Tamandua tetradactyla: one gene and its partners. The protein of the gene in region 3 purifies or fractionates together with the protein of the main gene of each other region. This does not show direct contact. Links are inferred from orthologs where the notes say so. Each region holds a gene or a part of one and is shown on either strand. Other genes may lie near its edges.

The links.
Region 1: the proteins of MECP2 (region 3) and KPNA4 purify together in Homo sapiens (affinity purification with mass spectrometry; 3 studies listed by BioGRID and IntAct, counting the BioPlex papers as one, with this or other methods). This does not show direct contact. The link is inferred for Tamandua tetradactyla from reciprocal best matches to the Homo sapiens genes MECP2 and KPNA4.
Region 2: the proteins of MECP2 (region 3) and TBL1XR1 purify together in Homo sapiens (co-immunoprecipitation; 3 studies listed by BioGRID and IntAct, with this or other methods). This does not show direct contact. The link is inferred for Tamandua tetradactyla from reciprocal best matches to the Homo sapiens genes MECP2 and TBL1XR1.

Annotation. Positions count from the first base shown.
Region 1 is NC_135331.1:57,305,344-57,312,611, forward strand, and holds the start of KPNA4 (importin subunit alpha-3), read right to left. Parts: upstream 3,098-7,268; 5' UTR 2,819-3,097; coding exon 2,750-2,818; intron 1-2,749. UniProt on the Homo sapiens protein: Functions in nuclear protein import as an adapter protein for nuclear receptor KPNB1. Binds specifically and directly to substrates containing either a simple or bipartite NLS motif.
Region 2 is NC_135331.1:75,024,991-75,031,979, forward strand, and holds the start of TBL1XR1 (F-box-like/WD repeat-containing protein TBL1XR1), read right to left. Parts: upstream 3,098-6,989; 5' UTR 3,059-3,097; intron 2,387-3,058; exon of another isoform or gene 2,263-2,386; intron 1-2,262. UniProt on the Homo sapiens protein: F-box-like protein involved in the recruitment of the ubiquitin/19S proteasome complex to nuclear receptor-regulated transcription units. Plays an essential role in transcription activation mediated by nuclear receptors.
Region 3 is NC_135353.1:6,403,760-6,411,565, forward strand, and holds the start of MECP2 (methyl-CpG-binding protein 2), read right to left. Parts: upstream 3,034-7,806; 5' UTR 2,921-3,033; intron 1-2,920. UniProt on the Homo sapiens protein: Chromosomal protein that binds to methylated DNA. It can bind specifically to a single methyl-CpG pair. It is not influenced by sequences flanking the methyl-CpGs.

The DNA.
Region 1 (7,268 bases), on a different chromosome or scaffold from region 3:
TGGGATTTTCTTTTAATCTCTTTTTCTGGAGTAATGCAAATATTCTAAAATTATCATGGTGATGAATGCACAACCATATGATAATACTGTGAACCACTTCTTTTTTTTTTTTAACTAATACGAAGTCTTTATTCTTTCAAAGGAAGGAAATACTATCTTTTTATTCTCACATTTAGAAAGTTAAATATGTAACATGACACTGAGTGCAGCCAGAAACTCCAAAATAAACTTAGATTACTATAAAGAAAATTCCACATAAAACCTCAAATGCTCTTTGCCTCAGGGAGGCACTGTTTTCAAAAGGAGTAAATACTGAGGTTATTTCATTTTCCACAAAACCATTTAAAGAAATACCCCAAATGGAAAAGCAACCAAATGTGAACCATTGATTTTATTCTTTGGACAGACTGTATGGTGTATGAATATATCTCAATAAAATGACATTTGGAAAAAACTGTATACTTTGGATGGACTGTATGACACATGAATATATCTCATAAAATGACATGGGGGGAGGATCATGGTGTAGCCACTTTAGAAAACAATCTAAATAGAAAACATATGTAGAAAATATGTTTAAAAGGTTAAACATAGCTACCATATGACCAAGTAATTCCACTTCTACGTATAAAACCAAGAGAAATGAAAAACTTTGTTCACATAAGCATCTGTACACAAATGTTCATAGCAGCATTCTGCATAACAGCTAAAAGGTAGAAACAGCCCAGATGTCTATAAACTCCTAAATGGATAGCAAAATGTTGTATATCTGTACAATGGAATATTACTCCGCCAAAAAAGACATAAAGTACTGATATATGCTATAACATGAATGAATCTTGGAAATATTATTCTATGTGAAAGAAGCTAGTTATAAAAGATCACTATTCTATAGCGCCATTGATATTAAATGTCCAGAATAGGGAAAACAGGACTGGGGTAGGCGGGGAAAATTGGAGAATTACTGAAAATCGGTACAGATTCTTTGAGAGTGATGACAATGTTCTAAAATTGAGTGTGGTAATGGCTGCACAACTTAAAACTATACTAAAAACCACTGAATTATATACTTCACGGGTGAATTTTTGGATATGTGAATTATATCTCAATGAAGCTATCTTTTTAAATTAAACAAAAATGTAGGAGAAAAAAGGATTATAGGACCTTATCAAGCATTTAATTATTATTTTTCTGGACTTTGTAACTTTGTAGTTGTCGGCTTTTTAAATTAGTAATTTGGGGCGTTTTCTCATTCTAAGTAAATATTCATGTTAGTAAAAAAGTTTTTCATCACCTTGTTGCACAACTAGATAAGTTTACTAAAAATCATAAATCGTGCACTTAAAATGGGTGGCTTTTATGGTAAGTTATATCTCAAAGTTAATCTTTTCTTTTTTTATAAAAAAGGGAATTATAAGAAAAGTGACTCATGTTAACCTTAAAACAACCACAGAATTAACAGCCACCTCCCCAAACACCTAATATCCCCTATGAAACCCACTAAAACAGCACCAACTCCCTTATAGTAAGATTGAATGGCTATGTGGAAAGCCCCCAGTATAGTTACTATCTTAGCCAAGCAAACGCTCAAGGTTCAGAGACAGGTGATGAGAATTTTAAGAGCTCAGTATAAAATATGCCAAAGACAATACAAAACATATCACTTGACCCCTCTTCTTAAAAAAATAAACTCGATTCAGACGCAGAATGGTAGTATTAAAAAAAAAATCTATTCACCTAGAGTGTTAAAGCTGAAGGGATGTTTTCTATTAAAAATCTCAGTGATTTGTGTGTTTAACCCACACACTACGTAGACTGAGAACCTCTGCAGCAGCTGTATCTAAGACAATGAAGCCTTTTTTGTTTGTTTCAAATAAAACTTGATGGTGCCATTCCATAGCCCACCCATCCCCCACTACCACCACCAGCAGGTGGAGGGAAAGGATACTGTAGACTAGAGGATGACAGCTTTGTATAACCCTTGGGCTTTATATGTAAGAATGCAGCTGGTGGTCTCCTCTCAGGAGGGGATAAAAGATTTGTGGACAAGCTGAAATAAGGGAAATCCTTTGCCTGGAAGAGGGCACACCGTGAGCCACATCTTGATTCAGCTATATGCAGAGTAAAACACAGGCCGCTGGAAGGCACTGTTAGCATCACCAGGATGGCCTCTCACGCCGGGGGTGTTTTTTCAACGGAGAAGTTGACTCCTGTAGTTTGGATATTAGGGGGAGGCAGGGGTAAAGCGGGAGTCGGGAAGACCAGAAAAAATGCCTTTAAGTGAAGACGCCTCGGGCCTCCTCGCCGAGGAAGTTCCGAGCCCCACTAGGTCGCCACACACTAGCCCTCATCCCCCACCACCCTCCTTGCCCCGGCGCCAGACGTCGGGGCCCGAGCGAGAAACGGAATCTCCGCCACTGCCGGGGAGGGGGCCGCGGTCCGGCCGGGGCACAGCCGCGCCCGGCCTCCCGCCGCGCGGCCCAGCCCCTCGGACCCGCGACGGGCTGGCTCAGCCGGCAGGCCTAGGCCGCGCCGGCCGTTCCCAGGCACCTCGCTCCCCGGCGGAGGCGGACCAGGCCCGACACAAACTTCCCGGCGCATTAGCAAAGGCGTCACGGACGGGCCAGCCCCCAGCGCCATTCCCCCGCGGCCCGGCGGCGGCTCCCGCCCCTACTCCCCACACTCAGAGTCCGGGTGGAGAGCAGCCCGAGGCCCAAGGTCCCCACCCCTCCGGTATCCCCGAGTTTACCTCTAAGTCGCGGCCTTTGTTCTTGAAATTCTTGAGCCGTTGGTTGTCCAGTTTCTCGTTGTCCGCCATGGCCGGGCCGGTGACTCCTTCCCCCGCCCGGGCCCCGCGGGATCCGCCCCAACCTCCGCGCCGCACCGACACTCCCAGGAACCGGGCCGCCGCCTGAGCTGCTGTGCCCGCCGCGCCGCCTCTTCGTTCCTCCTCTCACCTGCCTCAGCCGCGGCCTTCTCCTCTCCCCGCCCGCCCCCCCTGCCCTAACCCCAGCGCGACTGCAGCTCGGGCAAAGACAACTGCGGGGCCGGGCGGCGGCAACGGCGGCGGAATGCGCTGCCGGCAGAGAGGGGGAGGCGGCCTCGATCTGAGAGCCCCGGCGCCGCGGCCACGCCCATCACCGCCAGCCCAGCTCACTGATTGGCCAATCAGGCTCCGGCGAGCTCAACCAATAAGGAAGGGCGATGGAGAGCGGGGGTGGAAAAAGCGAACGGAAAGAGGAAGCGAGAGGCGCTGGGAGGAAAGGGCCGGAGGCCGCGAGGGCGGGGAAGGGCGGAGGGAGGAGGGGAACGGCTCCGGCAGGGCTGGGCAGAGCCGCACCACGTGCCTCCCGGGCGAAGGGGAGGGAGCGGAAGAGAAGTAGGAGAGCTGAGGGGAGGCCGGGAACGGAAAGGAGAATCGCCGACAGTTGTTTTCTCTTTTTGCCGGGGTAGTCCCAGACGACGGGGGTCCAGGGCCAAAGCTGAGTTAAAGTACGTTCTCTTCTCCGCCGGTGGGTCATTTCTGCCAGGGCACTCCTAAGGCACTCCTCTGACTTTGCCTCGCCTATATTTAGGGTTGGGGAGCCCCTAGTTCCATTTCTTGGCAGGGGATCCCGGCTGCCATAAAGGTCCAGCCTCGGGGCCGGGATGGGCAGGGGTGCTGTGCATCAGGGCCCAAAACGGGTGGGTGGAGAAGGAAAGGGGCGCGTTAGACAAATCTGATAAAATCCCTCCGATTTGGTACTCGTAACAGGTAAAACTTGGGAGAAGGTGGTAACCCTGTGATGATACCACCTCCTAGTGATTGGTCTTAGAAAGTTGAAGAAGCTGCTTGGCCACGAAACACTGATTTCTGGAGAGCGAGGACCGTGACACCTGACTTAGTAACGTAATGGTGTAACTCACTTGTGAAAGGACATGAATTCCAAGGATACGTATCTTTACTAGGAACATCATTATCAGAAACAAATTACACAAATCACAAAAGAACATATTCAAATAATTCTGAAAAAGAGAGAAGGAAACAGTTTTAAATATATGTAAATACCAACGAATAGCTCCTCAAATGTACAGGGTTGTGAGTGGTCGACTGAACCTCGCAAGGAGGGGTTGGATGTGTTTAAATTTGGCGAGGTAAAGGCAGGAGTCTTGTACACATTCTCCTGAAAGAACTTTGGCTCCTAGTCTCCTTCCCTCCGATTTCCTTAGTGGGATATTTTTTAAGTAGAACAACATGCAGAGTTGAAAATAAAATAAAATAAAATGCGACTGTTCAATGAGAAAACACTTAAAAGTCAAACAAGGGAAAAAGTAAAGAGGAAGAAGTCAGAGGTACTACCCATATAAACGACTGAGCGCCCTTTAGCTGTGGAATGAAGAGAGCTGGACTTTAGGAGCCGTAAGAAGGTGTTAGAGTATGGAGCAAAAGGTAAAAACTTTTAAGTCCTTTGTATACTTTGTATACTTTCAGCTGAGCGGTGGCAAACAAAATGTGCCTGGAAGTAATGTTAACCTGAATGTAAATTTAATACAAATTTAAAAATGCAGATTATGAAGTTCATTATAAATCTTTGTTCTTCAAAGAGTCATTTAATTGATGTAGCATAATATTTGCATGCTGGAGCACTGGTATTTTTCAAAATAAGTTTAGGATAAGAAAATTCAGTTGAAAAGCTGAAGTATATGTGTGTTTTCCAACAAATCGTCATGAGCAGATCTCAAGAAGACATTACTGACGAATTCCCATCCTGTGATTAGACATTATACTGCCAACATGCACATATAAATGAATATTTTGCTTCTTGGAATAAATTCCATAATAATGTTCATGATGAAGGTTATAGAATTATCTGCCATTATACAAGGCTTCATGTCTCTCAAGCTACAACTGATTTTATCTGATGAGTAAACAGCTCAAGGATCTTTCTCACAGATACTTCTAAAAAAATGGTGTGATTACAACAGTTAACTGAGAAGGATACAATATATACAGGAAATAACCACAACTTGCAATTTTATTTTGTTTTACTTGTTCAATGTCTGTTTAAGGTTTGTCTCCTTCTCTAGATAGTAAGCTCCCTGAAGTCAAGGACCATATTTGTTTTGGTCACTTCTGTATTTCTAGCACCTAATAGTAGTGCTTGGCACATAGTATGCACTCCATGATTATTTGTCAAATGCAAGAGTATGAATGACCTAAATCTAAACTTCTTCAAGTATAGGCCCTACAGTTGAAAATCAAGACAAAAATGTGGATTATGTTGTTATTGCTTTCTAATTTACTCTGGATTCCTTGCTAGAAATTCTCAATGTGGTATTATGCTCATTCCAGGGTTAAAGTTAAGGAGTACGGGAACTTTTGACACCTTGGTGACACATAAGACTCAGAGTAGAGGTTCTACAGTTCTGAAGGTCAGCGTTGCCACATACAACAACTGTTAAAGAAATTGAAAAAAAGAGATCAGATTTCAATTAGAGTTAAGACTGAAGCCAGTCAGGTCAGGAATAAGGTAATTCAGAATACAAGGATAAGGAAGACATTGTCTATATTATAGAAACTTCACCTACTTTATGAGACCAAAGGAAGAAAGGTTTATTTTGTCTAGAACCTAAATATTCTATAGCACATAATCTAACTCAACCTGTCTGGATAGATCATTTAAACACCCCAAACACAGGCAGCCCAGAATGGGAATGGGGGCCTACAATCCTATATAGCTTAATATAATGCCCGCATACATCTCAGAGTATATTAAACAGATAATCAAAAAAGTATTGGCAAGTCCCTTGAAGGATGAGAGAAAAAATATGACTGTTAAACTTTACCACTGGGGAAACTCCTGATACTGTCTCAAACATTAAGAGACTCTCAAGTCATTAGGCCAAGCCCTTGATCTTGAGGCTTGCTCTTGTGAAGCTTATTTATGTAGCAGAGAAGCTTAGCCTACCTATAGGTATGCCTAAGAGTTACTTACAGAGGACCTCTTTTGTTGCTCAGATGGCCTCTACGCCCAATTCTGCAAGTGAAATCATTACCCTCCCCACTATGTGGGACATGACACCCAGAGATGAAAGTCTCCCTGGCAATGTGGGATATGACTCCCAGGGCTGAGCCTGACTGTAGCACCATGGGATTGACAATTCCATCCTGACCAAAAGCGGAGAAGAAGTGTATCAAATATATCAGTGGCTGAGAGAGTTGAAATAGAGTTGGGAGGCTACTCTGGAGGCTCTCTTATGCACACTTTGGCTGGACATTACTACCTATCATAGTTTGCCAACCACCAACCAAAACCATTCCTGCCAACCCTAAAGAACACCTAGGGCATTTTCTGAGATTCTACAAAGGTTCTATATATTATGATTACTTTCCAGAAACTTACAACCTCCAGATGGATTCCTAGGCCAGATAAGTCCTGAAACCCAGAGGAGCCAGCCTCTCCAGAGCATCAACTAGTTCCATCCTCCATCCCGTGTTATTGACAGCCCCTTCCAACATGAAAAAGTTAGAATGGGCATAGCCCAAATACCCCTAAAGATTGGGGGAAAGATCAAAGGAAATGGTGGAATTGTACAGCGAAGGTTGGGTTTAACAAATGAGTATGATTGCTGAATTGTTATAGTGATGTTTCTTTAAGGCTCTAGTGTCTTGGAGCAGCTAGAAGTGAAAACCTAAAATTGTGGAATTGTAACCCATACCAAACTGAAATCTATTCTACAACTAATTGTTGTGGTGTGCTTTTTTGTGTATATGTTATTTTTCACAATAAAAAAATTTTTAAAGCATGAACCATTAAAAAAAATAATTAAGGAAGTAGAACAGACATGGGTTTCAGGATAAAACCTTCCATATATTTAACACGTTTAAAAAGTAGTTGTGATACACTTTGCCAAGACAATTATCCTTAATTACAATTCTTTGGTAGTCTGTTTGCTGGTCTAAATTCTTCATTTGAAATGGTCTCTCTCTCTCTCTCTCTCTCTCTCTCTCTCTCTCTCTCTCTCTCTCTCTCACACACACACACACACACACACACACACACACACACACACACAGTTTGCTACCCAGTTTACATGTTCACATATGTTTGTACTTCCAGTTCTTCCCAGATACAGAATTTATCAAAGGGGTAAAGAAGATCTTCAGGGAGTTAGTAATAGCTTTTAAAGCTTTTTAAAAAAGCTTTTAGCTTTAAAAGGCAGATGGGCAACATAATTGGCAAGATATGGCAGATCTAACTATGGTTAGGAGGTTTCAAAAGTTTCAT
Region 2 (6,989 bases), on a different chromosome or scaffold from region 3:
AAAAGCATGCAGAAATACAAAGTTCCCACATCCTAGCTTTTTCATTTTTTTAATCTTCAAGTTTCGGTTGGTGGAAGCAGTCTCTGAACTGGACCATACTAATCACCAATTCCTTACTATATGGCCCTGAGGTGCAAGCCCTTCTGCAGATGAGGATGTTTAGGTACAAAGTATACATGGCTCCTGTAACTGCTTTCCTTTTTTTGCATTCCTGTGACTTACATTGTATACATTATTTACAAGATGAGTCAAATTTGCATGTACTAAAATACAAAGTCCCAAACAGTGTCAAAGTTCCTGCCATCCCTTCCCCCTGGTTACCACTCACATCCTGCTATTATTTTCATAGATATAACAGTAAAAATGGACAAAACCAAAAAATTATCTCCACCAACTTGATCAAAATATGTTGAGTCAGAAATTCTCTGTAGTAATACTCTTGTAATTACAGAAGGGGATTCCTTTGTCAGCTACTCATCTGACTAGGCTGTACTTATATTTCATCACTATATATGAGCAGATATGTTGATTCAACAGGTTGTCATTCAATAGTCCATCAATCACATCTCTTTTTATCAGTAACTCCTATGTTTATCTTAAGCTACTGCCTTTTTTGCATATTAGCATGAAAGGCTCCCAGCACACAGGAAGCTGTCATTTCTTGTTCTCCTAGTAGGCATGTTTCATGGTAATCATGAAAAAAACCTTAATTAGATGGCGCAGATGCAAATATTAAAAAGATTCCTGGACATTACGTAAAAAGTTATTAAAAATGTTTAACACTTTTTGGAGCAACAAATGTATAAATACAACCTCTACAAGGAGCTAGTTATTTTACCACTAGTGTCTTCCATGAATAACCACAGTTATTTTATGTTACAATTTATAAACTATTGGTGAGTTTTGCAACAAATTTTAAGCCATTAAGGAATCACTTAAGTTCCTTAAGAGTAAGTAAAACTTTTTCCCTGGCACGTGTTTTCAGCCCCCATTCAAGTTTAGTAATTTGCACTGTAAATCTGATTCTATCTACTCCTATGTCTAAAAATAAACGATAGATTTAATGGTGCTGTTACATACACCACGCAATGTAGGATAGTAGAAGTGGGGGGAAAAAATCATATTCCAAACAAGCAGGAAAAGCTGTACTTAAGAGCAAAATGTACAAACATGCATCCCATGCCTAACCACTCTCAGGCATGTTTTCTTTCTGCCACCCCTCCCCCACCGGTAAATGCTAACTTTTCTAGAACTCTCAGTGATCATTTGGGAGAATTGCCATAAAATCCCATGATACAACCCAACATAAATGCCGTTTTCCTTAAGACAAAGCTGCCCTATTTCCCTAGACTATATACTTTTTAACATGGCGAGAACATGCAGCACCAAAAATCAGAATTACTAAAATACACCAATGTAGCATGAGTCTTACTTAACCAAAATGAAAATGAATGCCACTGGGAAACCCAAAAACTCACTCTCTGTATCGTCGATGTGTAACCAAGATATTATAAGTTGTTTTAGGTAAGTAGATAAAAGCACCACCAGGGCCTTCTATTACCCAATCTAGTGCAGGAGTCTTTAGTAAAAAAGGGGGAGGAAGACTACTTAATTATATACCTGGGGGGAGGGGGGAGATAAACCATTCAGACTAAAAATAACTCACCATTTCACCCACCATATTTTATTAGCAAGCTTGTTTAGACCAGCACAAGATTCTTGTTTGGAAAGCAGGAAAGCCAACAGAAAACTTCCCTAAGTCAACTGTAAATCACATAGGTTCTAACACCTCACTTTTGATGCTGCACAGTCCTAGGTTTTAAAAGCCACCTCAAGACACTCGGAAGATCTAATTTTCAACTAGGCTGCAACACTTCTCCTTTGAAATCGCCAAATTATTTTTAAGTGAATGTGAGCAGATATCCTAACAAAGGGAGCATTTTCTAAAAAGCCATTACCACCCCTATTTTACATGTAGCACACCATTTTCACAACAAATTTAATCTCGGTCGCCACCGCAAAGTGATGCCTGTTTCAGCAAATTAGGAACTTCCAAAAATACTGAACATGTTAATACATGCATGGCCTCCCTCGAGCTGCCATTTAAGATCAATACTTCACTTGCACAAAAGTCTGCTTCTGTTCAGGAAAAAAAAAAAAACGGTATCTTTTGCAAAAGGGGAAGTTACCGCGAAACCACCCTCCCAACGTGGCCTTTCCACCGTCAGAAAATGATGGGACTCTGTGCCACCCAAAACTTACCAGGAAGCTGGCAATAACTTTGCCAATTCTACACTTCTGAACCCAACTTCAAAGAGGGTCTAGCACATACCTCCTTCAGACGATACAAAGCACTAAGTTCCCGAGAAGCCCGTCCCCCAGCGCGGCCAGGCGGCCGGCGCGCCCCTCCCCCGGCCGGTGCCCCCGCCCCGGACGCGCCCCCCCCCCCGGCCGCCCGCAGCCCCCCAACACGAGGGCCGGGGCCGCGCCCGAGAAGGGGGCCGGCTCCCATCACTGCTGGAGGTTTAACCCAATAACATGCACGGAAAAGAGCTTTCTCCTCCGCTAAAAATAGGCTTATAAAGGAGTCGGCCTCATGATGGCTCCTTGATTCAATTTGCAGCAAATTCTTTCCCTGAAAGCCTCTCCCCCCCACCATCACACACACATAGAAAAAAGGGGGTGTAAATGCACGGAGGGGGGAAGGCGGGGGGTGAGGCCAAGGCGCACATTTTCGGGGACAACAACCAAAGGGTGAGGATCCCCCCGAGAACAGGGGAGGGTAGGGGCTGGGCAGGCACGTGAGCACCGCAAAGAAGCCAGCCAGAGGAGAAAAGGCGGGGGTGGGGGCGCCCTAAACGCCCTCCCTCTCCTCCCCTCCCCCACCCGCACGCCGGCTCCCCGAAGGGCCAAGTTAAAGAACCCAGCGTCCACTCGCGCCCATCCCCCCCGCAGCCGCACGGCCTGGCGCGACTCCCCCACCCCCCGCCGCCTCCGCCCGCGCCCCCCCCCCGGCCCGGCCCGCCCCCACCCCAGGGTCGGGGCCCCCACATCTTACCTGGACCAGGGCGGCCGCCGACGGCGCTCCCCCCTCCCGGGAATGGAGGCGCAAGGAAACTCCCCTCCCAGCCGCCGCCGCCGCCGCCGCCTCCAACCACCCCCAAAATAACCCCTCCGGGGGGTGAGAGGCAATTATAACCCCGGCGAGCGCGGGGCGCGGGGGCTGGGCGCGGGCGGGCGGGCGGGGGCGGGGAGGCGGCGCGGGTCCCCAGGTGGCGAGCGGAGGTGCTCCCGCCGCGGGGGGGGGGCGGGGGCGCGCACGGCCGGCGGCGGGGGGGGGGGGGCGGCGCGCGGGGGCAGGGCGCGAGCGGGCCGAGGAATTGAGGCAGAAGGGAAAAGCTGTTACTAAGGGAAAGAGCCAAACGGTTCGGAGCAGCCAACGGCTCCGCCACTCCACACCGGGGAGAGGGAGCGGGGACCAGCCAGGCGCAAATGAGCTCGCGAGGCCCGCGGCGGCGGCGGCGGCGGCGGCGGCGGCCGCGCAGCAAAACAAACCCGGGCGGCCTGCGCGGGGCGGGCGGGGGCGGGGAGGGGGAGGGGCGCCGGCGGCAGCGCGGCGGGGGGGCGGGGGGGGGCGCCGGCGGCCGAGCTCCTCTTCCCCTCCCCGCCCGCTGCGGCGGGGCTGGGGGCTGGGCGGCTGCGGCGCCGTCTCGGAGGAATGCAGCCCCGCGGCGCCGCGGGGGCACCGGGCGCCCCGCCCCCACCGTCCCCCACCGCCCGGGCGTTGGGCGGCTTTGGGTGTTGGTCGCGCGGCCCGAGGCCCCGGTGGGGGCGGGGCGCCCCTGGGTGCCGGTGCGCACTCGTGGGCACGTGCGGGGCGCGCGGCGCACGCATCCGGGGGACGTTGGTTGGGGGAAGGCTCTGGGCACACCTTTGTGTGCGTCCGTCCGCAGGGTTCTCGGAAGCGTACCTGCAAAGGTGTTATACCTGTGATGAGCGATATTTTTAACAAACGTAATCCAGAGCGTGGGATCTGTAGAGAAAACACACACATACACACACACACACATACACACACACACATATACACACACACACACAAGGTTTTTTTTGATACCAAACACAAAGCTGTCGTTGAAGTGTTTATGCCCAGATGTACTGGAGAATCAAACATACCGTGGGATTTACCGTGGGGTGGGTCTGATTGAAAGGGTTGGCCGGTCAGTTCTCATTTTTCAAAGATAAAATAATGTAACTGAGTGTTGGCTAAATATGTTCCTGTGCGGCATCCTCGACGGCACATGTTTATGCGCTGTGTGCACTTTGTGCGGGGTGTAGCACATCAGGGCAGCTTATTAAGTCTAACTTAGGTGAGTGATAATGTGACAGTGTGATTGCAGAAGGGAGGCGCCTCACAGTTTTTAAAACAAATGTGGCATTAATCTTTCTAATGCTCTCAGAAAGCAGGAATGGGGTTTTGACCTTTGTATAAGCCTGGAACATTAAAAGCAGCTTCCCTTTGATTTTAAAGTATGACTTGAAAGCAGTCTTTTTCTTGTTATTTTCAGTGATTACTGTCTTCAAAGCAAAATAATACTTTTGGCCGCCTTCTTAGGTGAGCGTTCTGTTTTTATACTTTCATCACAATATTTGCGAATAGGTGTAGTGGTTATTTTACGGCAATAGTCTTCTCCTGTCCTATGAGAGACCTAAGTTTTCACGTCAAAGAGGGAAAAATCATCACTTGAAGTGGTTTCTACAGGACTGAGTCCCGGGTGGCCTGATAAGCGGGATGTTTAGAGCAGGTGCTTTTTTTCTTTGGCCCAGTTTCCCCCGTGAGCCCCTGCCTAATGGGGAGCGGCCCAAGGCCTTTCCTGGCCGGCATAGGGCGGGGGTGGGCAGGAAAAACCGAAGAGAAAGGCAGCGGGTTTGGAAACTCCCTCCCAACCAGGAGAGAGTTCAAAGCCTATCAGTGGTGTGTCCTTAGAGCTATTTTCGTATATGAAAGAGGGAATGTTAGATTAAACAATGTCACCCGATGGGAATTTAGATAACTGCAGGTTTCCAAAACACTGTGTGCAGGGTACAGGCAAACAGCACAAAAAAAGCAAGTTTCACATTTCAGGAGGACTCTAAAGGTGAGGCCCATCTATCACAGAACTCTTTTGGAAGCGATGAGAGTGAAGTATCTTTCTATTTAAATATATATATATATCTTTTTAAGAGTTGATTAATGACGTGTATGTCACTAGCATTTCTGTTCTGTAAGTAAAGTGACTCAATACGATTAGGGTTCATTATCTCAGCCACCCAATGAAACGAATCCATTGGCCTAGATTGTTTTTCAGGTTTGACGTTGTGCCACTCAGGGGTCTTCTCCAGAAAGCTGCTGCTAGAAACTGAAGCCACCCTTCCAGTGAATGAGGACTTCCCAACCTTAAAAGGATACTCTCCAAATTGGGGGCCCCAGCCTTATCCTCCCGCATAATGTCCCTATTCCTTACCCCACTCCCTTCCTTAAGGGACATATGGTCCAGGGCTTCAGGCGCCAAGGTTTTGCACCCTATGGCCGCCTCCTCCCCTAACAAGTTGTTTGGTATTAACTGAGCCTCATCTCAAGGATAAGAATAACCCATACATTTGCTTACTGCATCATAGTTTACAAGATATTTATGCGCATAAATTACTACATTTGCACACCACAATAAAAATCACCAAAGGTGGGAACTTATGCTGTTCACTGCAGAGAGAACTGGAAAGAGAACCTTTGAGCAAACGATGCACCTAAATGTAGAAAAACCTCGATTCCCCTACGAAAGGGGTTTTTAACCACGTTCTGGTCTATTGATTCCTATACTTTAAGACCCTATCTAGGATGACAAAATGCCTTAAACATGAAATAAATAAGCTGCCGTACGAGGTCATATGTGTAGTTTATCTCTGTCCATTCCAGTGCATCTGGTAGATCAAGCAAAAATTCGACACATGGGGTGAGGTAAGGACAAAGAGAAGCAAATATTGTTAATAATTTTCAGGGTTTTGTCCTAATCTAAAAACTGTCCTTATGCTTTGACTATAAATGTTAATATGTTTCTAGAAAAGAGAAATTACTCTGTTACTAAGAAATTCTAAAGCAAAGGGACACATTATTAAGAAAGTTCTCTTGAACCTTCTAGCTAATTACCCAACAGATACCTCATACTGGTAACTGTTACCAGAAGTTACGTATGTGTTGTAAAATGACTAAACACACCCTGACTTGTTTTACATCACTACTATTACACCCGGGGGGATGCGGTACCACAAGATAGCCTACACCTGGGCAACTTTCATGGCTCAGGAAATAGAATGTTTTAAAGTAGCTTCATCCCAGCCTACAGGAACTCATTACTATGTATATGTATTTCAAGGCCACCATGATCTTTTAAATTGTTTACATTAGCCAGTCCTATGTAATTAAAGTGTTCAAAACAAGCTTAATAGCATGAAAAGGATATCTGATACCCCAAATATTATCCTGATGCTATAACTGTGTTTATATTCTGCACTCACCCCAAACTCAGTGGCTTTGTGTCCGTAGCGTTCACCCCCAGGCATCCTGCAGATGCCCTGTGATATTTGTGTTTCATTTTTACTCAACGTGTGCAATTCTTTGTCCGTGGCTCTTCAGCTACCAGTTTCTGCCATCTGAACGGATGTGCATCTCAGCCACACATCTCGCCATCTCAGCACACAAGCTCCCTTCCTCCATCTGTGCTTAGCATGCTGCTTATGACCTTCCCTCATCAGTGTGACCTTTGTCATAGTTTTCCATGCCTCTGTGACCTGATTTCATTACAACAGTGAACTCTACTTATCTTAATCTAAATTACAAAAGAAACACGCAACCATCTTGGAAGTATTTATGCCACTTGGGTGATGGAAATGCAGGGCTTATCTTGGGTTTGTGATTCAGTGAGAATGGAAAACTGGGCGCATACACATTATAT
Region 3 (7,806 bases):
TGACGCTTCTGTGAGCCTAAAGCACAGCAAGTGGGCTCCACGGCGCAGCTTCTATCCTCTGAGCACTGCAAATACTACTTACTTTGAATGCCAAGCATTTTATGGTCTCTTCTCATAAAAGTAGCCTGGCTACAAACCGTGCTTATCCACTCATAAGATTTTCACTCATATTCATCCTCATAAAAGATGAGGGCCTTTAAGACACATCATTTATCATGAAAATCATCCCAAGAAGGTACTTGAGAGGTGGAAATTGGACTGAAGTAAGAAACTAACAACTTTACCTCTGCTTTTTTTTTTTTCCCCACTCAAGGTTACAGAAACAAAGTTCTCGGTCCATCTCCAGGTGGGGGAAGGAGTATTTGGGTGGAGGTAATTACATACTGGAGCCACCTAACCAGCCCTTTTTTTTTTTTCCTTCAAACTACACAGCTTGCCCCCGCCCCCCCACACCAGCCCACTGGAAATGACTGGCTGGAAACTGTAAACATAGAGCGCTTTGCCCCAGAACTACTTCAGGTTTCAAATAGCAAAAAAAAAGTCAAAGTAGGGTTTACTACATGATGCTTTCCTATCAAGTGGGAAAAAAAAGACCTGGCACTTTAGAGTTAAAGCACTCCAAGCAAATTGGAAGAAAAAAAAAAGGAGTTAGTACAGTGTGATAGGCCAGTACCAGCAAGAAAGCCGTACAAGGTTTCTTCCAGCTGTTAGGACACACTGATGTTAGATGCCACCAGGCACTTTACAGAGAAACAGATAATCTGGAAAACACCTAGACCGTTTAAAGGACTAGGGATATGACAAGACAGCTAACTGGAGGGACACCAGAGACCACCATATTGCCAACAATGAAAGAGAAACCAGAGACCTACTCATGTCACTTCTTAGATTCAGATGTACAAACCTTGAAATCTTCGTCAAGTGAGGCATGTGTGTCTGTGGACATGCAAGTATTCCAATGACAGGCCACCTGTCTGACCTGATGTGAATGAGTGATAGACGGCAGCTCATTTTAATCAATATACAAAAGCCAATCGTCCTTTTACTAGACTGACTATGCTGTCCAAGCTACTGACAACGTTCAGGTCAGAAAAATAAGAGTGCTTCTTAGGCTTTCTGACTGGAATTTGAAGTAGAAGTTCTGTAAAGTCCGTAAATAAGCCTCTCTCTTGAAATCTCTGATGGAAATTCCCGAAAGACCTAATATATCCAGACTTTTTATAGGGACCTAGCATATTCCAAAAGACCCAAGAGGGTCAGCTTAATCTCACAAGCCCAGCTACAGAGCCCAAATCTAGCTCTAGAGTAATAATTGACTATCAAGAGTTCAATTTTACCAGAGAGGTCTGAATATGCTTCATTTTTATAGTATTACGGAATGCCTCAAACTTGTGAGAGTCCCACAAAGTCAAAGCCAGCCAGTGCCACACGCGATAGGTTTGATTACATGATCACCAACCATTCTCTTAATTACATCCTGTAATCTCACCAATTCCGGTCACTGATCTGCACAGTAGAGATGCAATGTGTGAATGGCTCGGCAGAGCCCATTCCTCTTACTGGGAAAACGACCTGAAGTACCATGAGTCAGGAATATATCAATTTTACAGTGGAGCCCATTTCTGCCGTGACCAACCCACACCCGAAAACACAACAGAGAAGCCACTGACACGGGGGGGGGGGGGGGGGGGAATTTGCCATATACTACAAAGTTTATCGATGTCACAAACAGTCTCCTCCATGAGATCAATCTTTTTAGACTCTTCCCAATGACCTTAAGTCTTCAGTGCCAAACCCCAGCAACACTGCCACCGCCATATAAGTCACCCGAGTTTCAGTTGAGGCGATCCAGTCAGAACAGAACTAAAAAGAATAAACTTTCAGAAAAATTGATAGGAGCCACAGCAGTGCAACGAACTTGCCACATCTGGCCCTGGTGATCTTGTGCGGGGTGCGCTCCGGGGCTCCGGGAGCCCATTACCGACCATGTCCCATTACACTTATGTAACTGGAAGATCACTGGCGAGTGGGGGGGGGGGGAGGACGGGAGGGCGCTCATATTCCGAAACCAGAGAACCCCAAAAGGACCTTTGAGCTCCCTGGGGTCGCGCTCACACCGAGGAACCTCATGTGCTGCTAAGGTGCTGCCGGACGCCGAGTCCCCTCCCCACGGCTCCTGGAGGGTACTGAAACTACCTCTTTATGATGAGTTGTGGGACCCAAGAACACAGTGTCTGTTCCCTTTTGTGGGTGGGCAATCGTTCCCACCTACTTCTTCCTGCGAGATGCGCAAAGGAGATTGTGGACTGACTCGCTTCCAGTGGGGGCAGAAAGTCATGGAATGGGCGAGAAGGAGGGGGAGGCAAAACCTGGAGGGATGGGGGGGAGTGAGAGCGCAGGAGCCCTTGTGGCGCACTCTCCCGACGGCGGGCGAACTGCGCACGCGCAACGGTGGGGGGGGCAAAGTAACGGGAGAGGGGGCGCGAGAGGGAGGGAGAGGGAGAGCGCGAGCCAGGGAGAGGCCGGGGCCGGGGGCGCGGGCACGCGTCGGCGCCGCGGCCCGAAGCCCCGAGAAGGGCAGGACGCGCGCGCAGCCACGACCTGCGGAGCCCCGGCGCCTCGGGTGCCCACCGGGCCGGGGGCGGGGATGCACGCCGAAGGCGGACGGGAGTGGGGCCGAAGGCCCAGGCGGCGGCCCCGCGAGACAACGACGAGGACGGTCACCCGCGAGCGCTAGTGACGGGCCGAGGGGGGAGCCACCAATGGAGGCAGCAGGCGGGGGAGGGGGAGGGTAGAGAGGAGGGACGCCATCCGCCAGCCGAGTCGCCCGATCCCGCGGGCCCCTCCCGCGCCACGTCCCGCCCCTGCCCCCCTCCCCCAAGGAAGGGTCCCCGCCCGCGGCCTCGGCGGTACCACTCACAGTCTCTCCTCCTCGCCTCCTCCTCCTCCTCCGCTCGGCGCGGCGGCGGCGGCGGCGGCCATTTTCCGGACGGCTTTTACCACAGCCCTCTCTCCGAGAGGAGGGAGTGCGCGCGCCGCCGACGCCGAGACCCCGCACGGCGCGACGTCGCGCCCCGCCCTCCCGCCGGCCTGCGCACTGCTGCACCTGCGCGCCCGCGCCACGCCCACGACCACGCCCGGCGTCGCCCCGAGCCCGCCCGCCACTGGCTGCGAAGGCCGCGAGAAGGCGGGGCCCCGGCAGCGTGGCGGCGAATTGGCGGGAGTTTCTGTCAGTTACCGCCCCGGGAAAAAGGGGCGGGACCCTCGGTCGACCGCCGATTGGCTGCCGCCGGCCGTCATTTTGGGAAAAGAGGCGGCCGGGACCCTGAGGGGCTGGTTTAGTGGGCGGAATTTGGATGTGTAGAATTAATGGGCCCTTGCGGAAGTTGGGGCGAGCCGAGGCCTGGACTCCGAAGGCTTGTTGTGCGCGGCCCTGCGGGGCGGGTGGCCTGCTGAACACAAACGCCGAAATAATGCTGCCACTTCACCCTCATTTTCTCAGTAGCGCTGCCTTCAGGAGAAGCAGTCGAGTCCAGCGTTGTTACAGCCGAGGGCCTTTGGTTTAAGAGGCCTACCCGTGGCATGTTTTCAGCCGGGCCTGCCGCGTGCCAGACATGCTGAGGGGCGGGGACGAACCGAGGAGCAGATCCCAGCCCTTGCCTTCGCGGAACTGTGTTGGGAGGGGGATGAGGAGATCTGTCAAGGCTGTACGGGACTTGGATGCTTGGAACTGATGGTTTGCTGGAGGTGTGGATCAGAGGCAGTGGCAGAGCAGAGGAAGGAACGCTTGACTCCGCCTGGAAGGGGGAGGGCAGGCTTCCTAGAAAAAGCGATTGGGAAGCTAAGATCCAGCAATTCTGTTTCTGGAAAATATTTAAGAGTAGAAGAAAAGTTGCAGCCGAGGAGATGTTCAGGACAGGAGTGTTTGTTGTGGCGACCTTACCCTGAGATGGTTCAACATCCCGGTCCTTAAGCATTCCTTGTAGTGGTGCTATGCCTAGCAGAGAATCTTCTTATTGTGATTTGGCTTTCCCCCATTCTGTTCATTTATTGAATAGCTACTCCATGCCTGCCACTGTTCCAGGCTCTGCAGTTATAGCAATGACCAAGGCAGTGAACTAACTTTCTTGTGGGCAAGAGCCATACTAAATAGACAAACAAGTATATGATATAATGTCACATGGTGGTAAGGGCTTTTGAAAAAGATAAAGCCAGGAATAAGGGAATGCTATTTGGTATCCACAGGCTTTCTCCTTCATTTCATTCCCCCATATGGATATCTGGGGGTGGGGGAGACATTCCAGGCAATTTCCAAGGCCTAAGGAGAGACTGTTCCTGGCATGTTGGGGACTAAGAAGAAGGCCGTATGTGGCTGAAGAGGCGCCAGCATGTCAGATTAAGATATCTTCTCAAAAGTGAATGGAAAGGATCAGAAGAAGGGTACGGAGAAAGAGAAAAAACAGAACAAATCCCAAGTTTGGGTCTTGTGCAGCTGAGTGAATAGGGGTGCCTTTCACCAAGATGTGGAAAACTTCAAGAAAAGCATGTTTTTGGAGGTGCAAATCGAGAATTCTGTTTCAGCCATGTGAAGCTTGGGATGCCTATTAGAAGCACAAGTGAGATGTTGAGCAGGGATTGGGTGTATGATTCTGAAGCTCAGAGATGCAGCAAAAGCAGTCAACAGCCTAAACATCCAACTCAACAAGCTATAAAAGGACCCGTAGAGAAAATAGGGGGAAGGAAAATAAGGAGGAACAGAAACCAATGAAGTAGAAATAATACTGAGAAAATCAAAAGCTGGTTCTTTGAGAAGCTGAAAAACAAGCCAACTCTCTCACAAGATGGATATGAGAGAAGAGACATGTAAATGAAAGGAATGAACAGAGCATGTAACCACAGATACAACAGAGATTTTTATTTTTAAACAGGTATTATGAGCAACTGTATGGCAGCAAATTTGAAAGCATAAGCAAATTGAATACAATCCTAGAAAAGTACAACTTACCAAAACTGACTCTAGAAACAGAAAACCCAATTAGACCGCTGATAATCATTACAGAAATTGAATGTGTTGAAAAATCCGCCCACAAAAAAACCCAGGCCCAGACAGCTTTACATTTGAATTCTTCCAAATCTTTAATGAGTGTGAAATTCCAATTATATGGAGTTTTTTGGAGAATAAGAAAGGAAAGAAATCTCTCCAAACTTATTTTATGAGACTAAATATTGTTACTATAATGAGATGGGGAGGGAATGACACTGAATGGGCAAATAGATGTAAAAGAGCTAAACAAAACATTACTAAATTGAAGCCAGAAATTTATGAAATAAATGCTGTATCATAAGCAAGTTGAGCTTTTATCTAAGAATGCAAGGATGGTTTGATATTAGAGCATTAACTTTATATGATATAAGGGGAACAAATTGGTCATTTCAAAAATGCAGAAAAAGTGCTTGATAATACTCAACAACCACTTATGATTATAAAAAGGTTAGAGAACTATGAGTAGACAGGAACTTCCTTAATCTGATCAAAGGAGTGTATAAAGAACTTACAGCAAACATCATGCTTAATGGTGTTGTTCTAGTTTGCTAGCTGCTGGAATGCAATATACCAGAAATGGAATGGGTTTTAAAAAGAGGAATTTAATAAGTTGCTAGTTTACAGTTCTAAGGCTGAGAAAATGTCTCAATTAGAACAAGTCGATAGGAATGTCCAATCAAAGGTATCCATCCAGGGAAAGATACCTTGGTTCAAGAAGACCAATGAAGTTCAGGGTTTCTCTCTCAAGTGAGAAGGCACATGGTGAACACAGTCAGGGCTTCTCTCTTGGCTGGAAGGGCACATGGCGAGCAAGGCGTCATCTGCTAGCTTTCTCTCCTGACTTCCTGTTTCAGGAAGCTCCCTGGGAGGCATTTTCCCTCTTCATCTCCAAAGGTCACTGGCCTGTGGGCTCTCTACTTCTTGTGGCTATATCGTTCTCTGCACTCTCTGAATCTCTTATTCTCCAAAATGTTTCCTCTTTTATAGGATTCCAGAAACTTATCAAGACCCACCTAAATGGGTGGAGACATTTCATCACCTAATCCAGCTTAACAACCACTCTTGATTAAATCACATCTCCAGGGAGATGATCTGATTACAGTTTCAAACATAGAGTATTGAATAGGGATTATTCTGCCTTTATGAAATGGGATTTAGATGAAAACATGGCTTTTCTAGGGGACATACATCCTTTCAAACCAGCACAGGTGTTAAGTGAAGACACAGGAAAAAACAGAACAAGATCTACTATGCAATCGTTCTCTTTTAAAACTCACCCTTGGAGTTTCACTATAAAGGGAAAGACCTATAAAATCCCAAGTCTGTTCCCTGGTGTTGAGACCCAATCAGTAATAAAAAGCTGGAAAATGTAATTGAAAAAAAGGGGGGGGGGAATTCAGTTCAATATAGCTACAAAAATGATAAAATAACTGGAAATAAACTTAATAAGAAACACCAAATACCTATTTTTTAAAACTATAAAACTTGACTGGACAACCTAAATAAAGAACCAGAAAAGAATTAGAAATTTCCCTGTTCTTAGAAGGAAGAGTCAACATAATTAAAATGCCAATTCTTCATAAATAAATCTGGAAATTCTTTGCCATCACAATAAAAATCCAGGAGTTTTTATAGACTGCAGCAAGTTAATTCTGAATTTGGAAGAATACACATGCAAGACTTAAAGTCAAGGAATATTTAAAAGAGAAAAATAATGAAGGGGATCTTTTTCATTTTGCCAAAGCTGCTGGAATGTAATATACCAAAAAATGGGTTGGCTTTTACAATGGGGATTTATTAGTTTACAAATTTACAGTTCTCGGTGGGCCATGGTGGCTCAGCAGGCAGAGTTATCGCCTGCCATGCTGGAGACCTGGGTTTGATTTCTGGTGCCTGCCCATTCAAAAAAAATACATATATATACAGTTCTAAGGCCGTGAAAATGTCCCAATTAAGATATCAACACGGTTCCTGTTGCTGGCATCAGGGGTTCCTCTGTCACATGGAAAGTTCAATGGCTGGTGTCTGCTGGTACTTCACTCCAAGATTTCAATTGCTTTCAGCTCCTGGTTCCAGTGGCTTTGTCTCTGAGTTTCTGTGTATCCTCCCTTAGCATCTGTGGGGCTTTTCTCTGTAATCGCTCTTGGTTGTCTTTTTTTCTCTCTCTCTCTCTCTCTCGGTTGTCTTTTATCCTCTCACAAAGGACTCCAGTACTGGATTAAGACCCACCTTGAATGGGCTGGGTCACATCTCAATTGAAATAACCTAACCAAAAGGTTCCACCACAGTAGTTCATCACCCACAGAAATGGATTAAAAGTACCTGGCCTTTTTCTGGGGTATATAACAGGTTCAAGTCACCACAGGGTCTTGATAAATTCCATAGATTGAATAAATGACTCCTAAATGATACAATTTCACTCTTGTCGTTGAAAAGTAAAAAAAAAAAAATTAAGTATTTACTTTAGTAGAATAAAAATGGGATCATCTTTCAAATGGGACTGTTAACATCTTTTAAATGGGTCCCATTAAAATGGGATAGCAGAAGATAAAATCAAGGAAAATATAGTATACATGACGACTGACAGAGAACCAAATAGCAGGATTTGATCAATATGGCGGACTGAACACAAACTTCTATCCCATCCATCTAAACATCTCTTGAACTGAAAAAGTATGTAGGTTATTTTTTTTGAGATCTAGAAAGGACTTTGGTCTAGTTTGCTAGCTGCTGGAATGCAATATGCCAGAAACATAATGGCT